Linked DNA regions of Saccharomyces cerevisiae S288C. The gene in region 2 interacts genetically with the main gene of each other region. Each region holds a gene or a part of one and is shown on either strand. Other genes may lie near its edges.

Region 1 (3,758 bases), on a different chromosome or scaffold from region 2:
GTCAATAGTACCGTTCCAGCAGTAGTTGGTAAAACACTGGCTGCATTCAGAGGGCAATGTAGCATTCAAGTTTTGTTGCTTACGTCTGATAATGGCGCAACCAACACAGCCCAAGAAATCAGAATCATCAGTAAAATTACCCATTGTGGCAGCTTCAAACCCATTCTTAATCATACCAAGACGTTCTGAATCGGAGTATGACATCTTAAAAGTACTTTGGTTACCATTAAATGAATGTCTTGAATTTGGAATGTAAACAATTAATGGTGGAATGTACTCCAAGTCTGTCAAATTTCTTGCATCACAACCAAAAAAGGTTGGCTTTTTGTTCAACCCCAAGTTGACAAATGTGTTCACATCTGGAACATATGGGAAAGACAAATTGAGACCTTGGCTGCCAAATTGACGCTGATAAGTGTTAACTAATGAAGCACCATCTGGCCAATAGTCGTCAGTATCAGCAGAATTGTCTAATGCAAAAATAACATCTAGTTCACGTTCCTTTTGCAACAATGGAACTAAAGGAATATTTTGGTTATCTTCACCACCATCAACCAAAAATAGATATTCTGATTCGATAATACTGGAGGTTGCGTTCTTTTGAAGAAAATTAGCTTCCTTGAATGGATTTGGGGCGTAAATTGCAATATCGTCACTATTGTCGGATAAATCTTCCAGGAAATCGGTGGCTAAGTTAGCAATAAATGAAGGTAAATCGGTAGAATTCAATCTTAGTAAAAATTGGTTAAACAACGTAGATGAAGTGGCTGTTATGAAACCAGTGTTATCAAACCCGGCAATGCATTGGCCTTTATTAACTGGTTTACCGTTTGTAACGTTGGTACCTAAATACTTCACATCCGTAAATGCGTTCAAAGTGGGGTCCCATGAACCCATTTCAAAGGGATTAAATTCGAAAAGAGTGGCATTCAAGTTTATCACGGTGGTACCTGGGTATCTACCGTCTGCAACAGTGATAGGGAAGGGCATTTCTCCATTCTTGAAGACATCAGCTTCCCTTAAAGTTGACCATGTGTACCCTACACCACCACGGTGTAAGCTTGGCCAAAAATTGTACGCAAGAGCACGGCCCCAAACATCCGCCAAAGAGATGTTGAAACCGGCGTCTTTTTTATCCTGAACGTCATCTGATATGTCGTCCCATCTACTCCCAGTCTTAAAGATGTTAATGCCGTCTGGGGTAAGAATTGAATGAGAGATGTCCCAAATTGAGTTAGATTCTGTTGTATTATCCACGATAGCTTGCACAGACGTCCAGTTGTTCCAAGCCAAAGTACTTGTTAACCAGTTACCACCCGACAGACCTGCCAAGTAAGTTGCACCTTGCAGCAGCCCACCAAGACCATGCTCATTTGCGCCATCAGTACGATTGTCCATAGCAGCAAGCATACCAGCACCAGACAACATGGCACGGTAACCACCACCAGAACAGGCGACGGCAATCTTAGGCATATTGGAAGAGTTGCTACCAAAAAGAGTGGATAGCAAGGAAGTGTCACTGAAATTCGAAGTGGCCCTATTCAAAAAAGAATGCAAAGCCTCCTTGGTGTATGCATCTCTTTTTTTCAGCCATTCTGTTTCGTTATCTGACAAACCAGATGCTTCTCTGACTAAGTTAATATCATCATCACAGGTTACGTTCGCAGGGACGTAACTGTTATTTGGTGACCAAGCGTTAACGTTCTCTGTTAGAGAAGTCAAAACTGCAGCAGAAACCAACAAACTCTGCAACTTCATGGTTTTGTTTTATTTTCTTTCCCGTTTGCCCTTAGGATGGATAGCTTCGTGTAATTTACGTTATATGAACGAAAAAAGAGAGAAATGTTAAGAAAAGAACGAAGAATTGATTAGTTAGTATAACCTAATAAATGTAGAACCTTACAGCGAAGAGACGTTTCCGTTGGTTAAATGTGGTGGAAGCGTCTTTATATATTAGATGATGTAGTTTACCTAAGCAGTTAGAAGAAAATAAAGTAACCAAGTCATCTTCTAAGCAAAAATAGGAGACGTAAATGAATGTTGCTTAACTGAGAAAAATATGCGGGAATAAGCGGACATGTTACTGTATGAGGTTATTTCCCTTTATAGATAAGGGCGTAAACCGCATATAATGAGGAAAGGCGAAGTTAGAAACGGACTTTTTAGGTCGCTTTGAAGAAGTCCGTGCAGGAAACCCATGCGTCCACTTATTTTAGCACTATGTGGCATGAGAAAGCTTTGGAAGGAATAAACGTTAGGACCCCACTGCGCCGCTTTTACGCAGGGCAATTTCGGGGACAAAGGGGGCTGAAGGAATACAATTCCGATCCAAGGCAACAAGTAGGTCAGAACCCTTTATTAACCTGCGCTTGTTAGTGGCTTCCTTTGTACTCTGTCCGTAATCCAGCATAGCGCTGAATTGCTGAAAGATATGGGTAGCGGTCAGATGAGAAGGGCAATCGTCAGGACTTCTGTTGAAAAGCGGACTAAACATAGGCATTATCATTCTTAGAGTTTTACGAGCAAATAGAATCGAGTGACTTCCGTCGTTGCTAACAGGCGCAGTAATAATAACCGCGGACGAAAGCCACGCAGGCAAAGAATGCTTTCGCTGAAATATCGGAGTCTTGCTATTGTTCAGGGCTTTGCCGGTGCGTAAATAATAGGCTGAAGCGAATTTGATTTCCCGCACAAAAAATTTTTGCTCGAGTAAGTCATACATATATCTTGCATGCGTAAAAAAAATTGCAATTGCTGAAGATTGAACGACCGCCCACCGGTATTTTCATCTCTTCTAGATCAAGACTAACTGCTCGTTCAGTACAAGTATTTTACGATAGTCCATATTACTCTTCAATTAATATTTTTTTTTTATATTCTGGCCCGTTTTTGACACAATTTTTTCCTTCTCTTTTTCTCCCTATAAACTATGCAGAAGTAGCGATAATCACGATCTTGTTAATGATTCACATGTGCGCAAGTCGTATTGTCTGTCTAGATAGTGAGATGCCTTCTAAATAACAGGAGAGAGGCAAGATAGCATAACGGCGCAATGAAGGTAATTTCTGCCAGTTTTCTTTGCATTGACGACTGAAAGGGCCCTTGTAAGAGCCGCTCGACAGGGCGACGCCACAGTAGAGTCGCTAACACCGAAATATGCATATTGAAAAACATCAAAGTATAAAAGAACAAAGAGGGTGGCATCTGCAGATCAAAAAAAACAATAACCACCAAACAAGACACTAAAAAAGGTCGTAAAAAGGTCAAAAGTTAGAATGGTTAAGGTATATATTCATGACAACAAGGTTGACTCCGATTATCGCGCACCCCACAATTCTGGAACAGAACTTTCCCTGGATGAATTAGCCAAGTTAGGAGTGATTTATAAATACTGTGCAAATGAGGAAGAAGTGAATGAAATTGCTAGGCAAAGAGAATATAAAAATAGAGATGTGGTCAACATCTGCGAAGGTTCCTTCAAAAGTGAAGCAGAGTTTAATGAAAAACTAGCAACATTCTACCAAGAGCATTTACATGAAGACGAAGAAATAAGATACTGTCTCGAGGGTGCTGGATACTTTGACGTCAGGGATGCTTCCACACCAGAGAACTGGATTAGGTGTTTGGTAGAGTCAGGTGATTTACTGATTCTTCCACCAGGCATCTATCATCGTTTCACCTTGACAACTAGCAACCACATCAAGGCCTTGAGACTGTTTAAGGACGAGCCCAAATGGCAAGCTATCAACAGGTCAAAT
Region 2 (3,543 bases):
TCAAGAAATCACTGTTGGAAAGCGATTCCCATCTTAAAATATCTGCACGAGTTTTGAAGTCACCTTCGGGACCCAACAACTGGCGCACAGCTTCCTTGTCGCTCGACAGATGGATCAAGTAGTAGTCAATAGCCATTGCCTCTGTAAGCGTCCACTCGTCATGCGGTCCAACAAAAGTTGGGTACTTACGCAAGGGAAACTCCCTTTCGTAAAGTTGCTGAGCGTCACTTGGATCAGCAAGCTTAACGTCCAGCTTCAAGGAACGCACTAAACCTCTTGGCACAATGGTCCTAATCAACTTTCTCTCCTTCAAATCAGTAAACAGTGTTCCGTCAGACATTTGTAGTTTTCTACACAAAGATGCCGAAATCAATGATGAGCAAGTATCGAGTTCGCTTCGCACTGCTACATCTAGGCTTTTATAAGGGGTGGTATCGTTTAAAGGTGCGGCTATTAAAAGGGATGAATACGTGGGAAACGGTTGCATTACAGGAAAAACAGCTTTTTATCTTATTATATCTTTAAATATGTACATACGCTTGTTTATACGTGGAGGCGACAAAAAGGGTTGGTTGAAGGGAGAGAGAAAGAGACGCACAGAGATTGGAGGAGGGGCTCAGTTCGCTGATTGTTTCTTCTTCTGTGTTAGGTTTTCCAAAGTTAACCTGTCGTTGTCGTCGTCATCTTCACTGGGAGGCGTTGAGTTAGTGTTTGAATCTGAATCTGAATTTGTATTCGTGTTGTTAGAATTTGTGTCTTCATCATCTTCCTGACTGAAAAGATTTCCATTGTCATCCGGTGATTTAGCGGTAGAGTTTTCGCCCGTAAATTCGTTGGCAAACTCTGTAGCCGGAGAGGCCTCCCTGATTAGCTTCCTAGTAAACGGATCATCCAAAAAATTCTGTTTTCTTTGTCGTTGATTTTGTTTCTTTAATTCATTGCCTATTAACTTGGAGTAGAGTTTTTTGCCCAACGTTTTCTTTAGCAAGATTTCACGGACTTCGAAGTACAAGTCTCTGGAGGCGTTATTCAAATTTGTCTGGTTTTTCTTGAAATATGACCTGAATTCATTGATGTGTTTTTTGAACTCCAGTTCGTTTTTCTTCAACCAAGAAACGTTCAGCTCCTGTCTGGTAGCACCCCTTGCAAAGTTTCTCATCAAATATTTGTCATAATCTCTGATGATCTTTGTGATAATATCACTTGTAGAGACACCATTGGTTCTTTGGGTAGTCAAGAATTTTCCCATCTCCTTTATTGGCTTGTAGATATCGTCGCTGTCGGCGCTAACGTAAGGAATATCGTCATGTGCCACGTAGTCAATCTTGTGTTCTAGTAGAAATTCTGGGGTGACACACCAGGGAGCGTTGGGCACGACTTCGTCAACCCATCTGCAGTGCGTTAAAGTTTCACAACGCTGCTTATCGGTCAGCACAGTCAAACCTTTTAGTTTGTGAGTGATTTTGTCGCTAGGCACACCAACTATCAGTGTTACATTGGGGAAAGCCTTCTTACACTGTTCCAGTTGCTTCATGTGGCCAAGATGGAAAAGATCAAAAACACCATCTGCATATATCCTGATGGGTCTATCCGTTGGAGGCAAATTGAATCTGAAACCTTTAGGACGATACTTGCGCAGTTCCTTGGGCAACTCGTTGGTGTAACGAGCCTCCTTCTCTTCAAACTCCTTCGTCAACCGGCGACGCTTGCGGGGAGTGAGCTGTGTGTCCTTATTTTCATCCTGGTTCTTACTCTCATCCTTATCCTCATTGTCCTGCTCTTCCGTTTCCTCACGCTGTCTTTTATTTTTATTTTTTTTAAATAGGTTTGATAGCGATGAGTTAGAAAGCTTAGCCCTAATCGAGGACTTCCCTGTTGTTGGGTTTGCCATTTTTCTTTGTGTCTGCTGTGCTTTGTACTACCAAGAGAGAATAGCAAGAGTGAAATTTGAAAGTTAAACAATACAATAAAGAAAAGTGACTGGCGTATGCAAGAAAGGGGAATGGGTATAAAAAATACAAGAACGGCAGAAAAAATAAAAGAAACAGGAGAAACAAACAATGGTAACTGTACTAAAACCAATACCAGATATATATTTCATACTTATTAAAAAGCGTTAAGAAACGAAGCGTAAAAACGTAAGAAAAAGAATGACTATATAACGGTAGGTCTTCGACTCATTTTTTTCTTCCTACATGCAAACGACAAATACGGGTAATGCACATTTCGCTTATTGGGTTCTTCCCTTTCCTTTTTTCCATTTTTTTCTTTCTGGCTGTCGCTAGCCTTTCTACTTCCTCCGCACATACAGTTTTCAGCACAGTATAGATAGCTGTGCAGCCAGATAGAAGCAAAAGAGAAGTCAATTGCAAAAAAAATATGGACTCGTACTCAATAACAAACGTAAAATACCTGGATCCGACTGAATTGCATCGTTGGATGCAAGAAGGACACACTACTACGCTGAGGGAGCCTTTCCAGGTAGTGGATGTGCGAGGCTCAGATTATATGGGGGGCCATATCAAGGACGGATGGCACTACGCCTATTCGCGCCTTAAGCAGGATCCGGAGTACTTACGTGAGCTAAAGCACAGATTGTTGGAAAAGCAAGCGGACGGCCGCGGAGCGCTGAACGTGATTTTCCATTGTATGTTATCGCAGCAGCGCGGACCGTCTGCAGCGATGCTGCTGCTTCGGTCGCTTGACACGGCGGAACTTTCTCGCTGTCGTCTATGGGTGTTGCGTGGGGGGTTCTCGCGCTGGCAATCCGTATACGGTGACGACGAGAGCGTTACGGCGGGTTACCTACCCGATCTGTGGCGTTGACAGGTTTACACAATCGCACGTGATCATATATTTGCCATGACTCCTCCCAGTGACAATTTTGTTCTTTTTTCCTCTTTATCGCTTTCGTACTATGGTCAGTCATTCATTCATTATATACGCGCTCTCCATAACCCGTAACTTTTTATTATATATAGACTCGTTTACAATACAACGATAGCGATACCATTCAATTGAAGTTGTGAGACCAGGTAACGAGACGAACACAACTTTACAAGTCAAATAAGAAATCATGGCTGGTCAAGTGTTGGACGGCAAAGCATGCGCTCAGCAGTTTAGAAGCAATATTGCTAATGAAATCAAAAGCATTCAAGGTCACGTGCCTGGGTTTGCACCTAACCTTGCCATCATTCAAGTAGGCAACAGACCAGACTCAGCCACATATGTACGCATGAAGCGTAAGGCAGCTGAAGAGGCCGGCATTGTTGCTAATTTCATTCATTTAGATGAATCCGCTACTGAATTTGAAGTTCTGCGTTACGTGGACCAGCTGAATGAGGACCCACATACACACGGTATTATCGTGCAACTACCATTACCCGCTCATTTGGACGAGGATAGAATCACCTCGAGAGTGTTGGCAGAAAAGGACGTGGACGGGTTCGGGCCCACCAACATTGGCGAATTGAATAAGAAGAACGGACACCCATTCTTTTTGCCCTGCACGCCCAAGGGGATCATTGAGCTGCTTCACAAGGC
Region 3 (3,516 bases), on a different chromosome or scaffold from region 2:
AATGGGTTCAGCAACTGCGTCGTCCACAACTGCAAATCCAAATGTGATATCTATAACGGGTGCCCCCAACTCGGGCTTATCTATGGCTAATCACTCTCAACAACTACATCTGAATGGTAATCTAGTCGATGCCGTTTCAACGAATGATGTGTTTTTAAGAACGAGCAATTCTCCATCAAGACACGTTCCGCACAATAAACAAATTAACAGTAACAATAATAGTGGTATCAATATCAATAATAATACCTCACACAATTCTAATATTAACATGGGTAGTAAAAACGCCATGGTGAATCGTCCACATACTTTTAATAACTATTCCTTGAACAAAACGTCCAGGAATCCTATTCAACATCAATCAAGAAAAATTGATCCTCATCAAACCGATTTATCACCTCTGGTACTTGTCCAAGATATAGATTTAAGTTTTATGGATGATGATATTTTGGGCCCTAGTAACCACAATTCCATGAACTCTGTCGTAAATCCAACTACAGGTTCTCACAACTACAATACTTTTCATTCTTCCGTACACGCAAAATCTTCTCAAAACATGGTCGAGGATCAAGACATTGATGACATTGATGATGACGATGATGTTGATGATGACGATGACGATGACGATGACGATGACACAGAAAATGGCTCCAGTTCCAATGGAAAATCAGTTCATAACAACAATTACAAGATGCCTCAGCAAGCTTATATAGACGATCCTGCGAGAAGGCTCTATGTAATGGATCATGAGGAACAAAAACCCTTTAAGTGTCCAGTTATTGGTTGTGAAAAGACTTATAAAAACCAAAACGGTTTGAAGTACCATAGGTTGCACGGACATCAGAATCAAAAATTACATGAAAACCCTGACGGTACATTTAGCGTAATAGATCCAGATTCGACAGATTCTTTTGGTGATGGAATGGGCTCTGCAAAGGATAAACCATACCGTTGTGAAGTTTGTGGTAAGAGATATAAGAACTTGAACGGTTTAAAATATCACAGGGGCCACTCCACTCACTAAGATATAATTGTTTCTTTACTGAATTGATTTAGTATGCTATTTAGATACTAATTCTACCGTTACCGACTCATGCATCGAGCGGCCGCTCTTTCTCTTGTTGTTGGGCGCAATTTATGTGATCATCTTTGAACGAAAATGCATGATAAAGCTGTGCTCTTCGACTGTTACCATTAATTTCAAAAAATAAAAAGCATATCTATTATTGAAAAATGAACTTATAATAGAATAACATTTTCTTGTTTTGTCATCATTTCCTCTAAATACTCCGTCATGAAAACGATTTGCGCTCTGTCTGGTCTCTCCTTTTAGTATTATTGTTGTGTGTTTTTTACTATTCATTTTTTACTACTGTGTTTTTACTATATATATTTTGGCTTTACTTACTTCCTTCTGTTCTGATGTATTAAAAACTATTTTTATTCTAAGAAAAGAAACTTTAATTCTTCTTATTCATGCTCTAAATCTTAAATAAAAGGTTCCGTTTTTTATCTGCAATTCTGTGTATTTGTAAGTGAATTACCATGCACGTTGTCGGATCGTTTTTCTAGGCAGAAACTATCTTATTGAACCATTAAAAGATTACTTAAATATTACAATTAATCTTACGAAGCATATTAATTAGACTGGAATTACAGCGCAACTATCACAGGTTAATAATTGGTTGAGAAAATATTATAGTTTTGTTAGTAATGTTGAACTTTTATTTTATACACTTATGAAAGTAAATTAATTCAATATCAATAATAATATACTATAAGTAACTTAAAAAGCAACCTTCCTCCCAAACCTACAATCCAATCACGCTGATAAGTATTATCTAGAAAGTTGACAACACCAAGCCATATGGTCAAGAAACATTTATTGAGAGTTATTTTGTAAATAAGACTTTTCGTCATCCATATAAAGCAACCTAATTGTTCATCTAATACTAGAGTCGCTCTTTTGAAAGTTAAGTATAACTACCTCATCATTAGTTGCTACTATGTGTATAATTTGAAAATCTCAACGTAAGGTTATTAAAAATATAAATGCGCGTAAGACAGAAAAATAGAGACAGCTTACGGCAAATTATCAAAATGTGAATCCAAGGTTTCAAGAAAATAAGATAAAGTGAATAGGAAGGATGAAAATCAATGTATCCCGTCCATTACAGTTTTTACAATGGAGTTCATATATTGTTGTTGCATTTCTGATACAATTGCTAATCATTCTTCCTTTATCGATCTTAATATATCACGATTTTTACCTAAGACTATTACCTGCCGATTCCTCTAACGTAGTCCCCCTTAATACGTTCAACATTTTAAATGGCGTACAATTTGGTACAAAATTCTTCCAATCTATTAAAAGCATTCCGGTAGGTACAGATCTGCCGCAAACAATAGACAATGGCTTATCACAGTTAATCCCCATGCGTGACAACATGGAATACAAGCTCGATCTAAACCTACAGCTTTATTGCCAGAGCAAAACTGACCATTTAAATTTAGACAATTTGTTAATTGATGTTTACAGAGGTCCAGGCCCGCTATTGGGTGCTCCTGGAGGAAGTAACAGCAAAGATGAAAAAATCTTTCACACTTCTAGACCTATTGTCTGCCTCGCACTGACGGATTCCATGTCGCCTCAGGAGATCGAACAACTAGGCCCATCACGTCTAGACGTTTACGATGAAGAATGGCTAAATACAATAAGAATAGAGGACAAAATATCGTTAGAGTCTTCATATGAAACAATCTCGGTGTTCTTGAAAACGGAGATTGCCCAAAGAAATCTAATAATACATCCAGAAAGTGGGATTAAGTTTAGGATGAATTTTGAGCAGGGATTAAGAAACTTGATGCTTCGAAAAAGATTTTTATCTTATATTATTGGCATTTCAATTTTCCATTGCATAATATGTGTACTTTTTTTTATCACAGGTTGCACTGCATTCATTTTTGTTAGAAAGGGTCAGGAAAAATCCAAGAAACATAGCTGATAGAATTGTACTTCTCGCTATATAATTTTAAAACCTAGCTGTTATTTTCTAAGTAAGTAGGCTCTTCCAGCATTCTGCTTCTTCGCCCTGAATAAAAAAAAGATGATCAGCGAAAAAACTCAAAATGAAAATAAGAGATGGATTCTTCAAAGTTATAATTCATATGCAGAATAAAGATTCTAAAGAAAATGCACACAATGCATATTCCATCCGGTGATGTTCTGATACCGAAGCCGAAGCTTATTACTGAAGAAACAGATCCACTGCATATAATAAAGACGAGGCAAAAGACACATGGTCGGCCCGTGACCATTGCAGGCCCAATGGTTCGGTATTCCAAGTTACCATTCCGTCAGTTGTGCCGAGAATATAACGTTGATATAGTTTACTCCCCCATGATTTTGGCAAGAGAATATGTCCGTAATGAGCATGCAAGAATCTCAGACCTTTCTACAAATAATGAGGACACCCCGCTAATCGTCCAAGTAGGTGTAAATAACGTGGCTGATTTACT

The links.
Region 1: of PCT1 (region 2) and PLB1, changing one enhances a phenotype caused by changing the other (phenotypic enhancement), as found in Saccharomyces cerevisiae (one study listed by BioGRID).
Region 3: of PCT1 (region 2) and SEI1, changing one suppresses a phenotype caused by changing the other (phenotypic suppression), as found in Saccharomyces cerevisiae (one study listed by BioGRID).

The regions. Positions count from the first base shown.
Region 1 is NC_001145.3:280,827-284,584, forward strand, and holds the start of PLB1 (lysophospholipase), read right to left. Parts: upstream 1,759-3,758; coding exon 1-1,758. Other genes in the region: YMR008C-A (uncharacterized protein), read right to left, coding at 2,255-2,722; ADI1 (acireductone dioxygenase (Ni2+-requiring)), read left to right, coding at 3,276-3,758. UniProt on the Saccharomyces cerevisiae protein: Sequentially removes both fatty acyl groups from diacylglycerophospholipids and therefore has both phospholipase B and lysophospholipase activities. It also displays transacylase activity.
Region 2 is NC_001139.9:902,858-906,400, forward strand, and holds PCT1 (choline-phosphate cytidylyltransferase), read right to left. Parts: upstream 1,892-3,543; coding exon 617-1,891; downstream 1-616. Other genes in the region: YGR201C (uncharacterized protein), read right to left, coding at 1-340; phosphatase YCH1, read left to right, coding at 2,380-2,826; trifunctional formate-tetrahydrofolate ligase/methenyltetrahydrofolate cyclohydrolase/methylenetetrahydrofolate dehydrogenase ADE3, read left to right, coding at 3,077-3,543. UniProt on the Saccharomyces cerevisiae protein: Catalyzes the key rate-limiting step in the CDP-choline pathway for phosphatidylcholine biosynthesis.
Region 3 is NC_001144.5:926,599-930,114, forward strand, and holds SEI1 (seipin), read left to right. Parts: upstream 1-2,144; coding exon 2,145-3,002; downstream 3,003-3,516. Other genes in the region: zinc-coordinating transcription factor SFP1, read left to right, coding at 1-1,021; DUS4 (tRNA dihydrouridine synthase), read left to right, coding at 3,191-3,516. UniProt on the Saccharomyces cerevisiae protein: Involved in lipid metabolism and lipid droplet (LD) morphology, number, and size. Facilitates initiation of LD formation, and ensures that vectorial budding of LDs from the ER is directed towards the cytoplasm.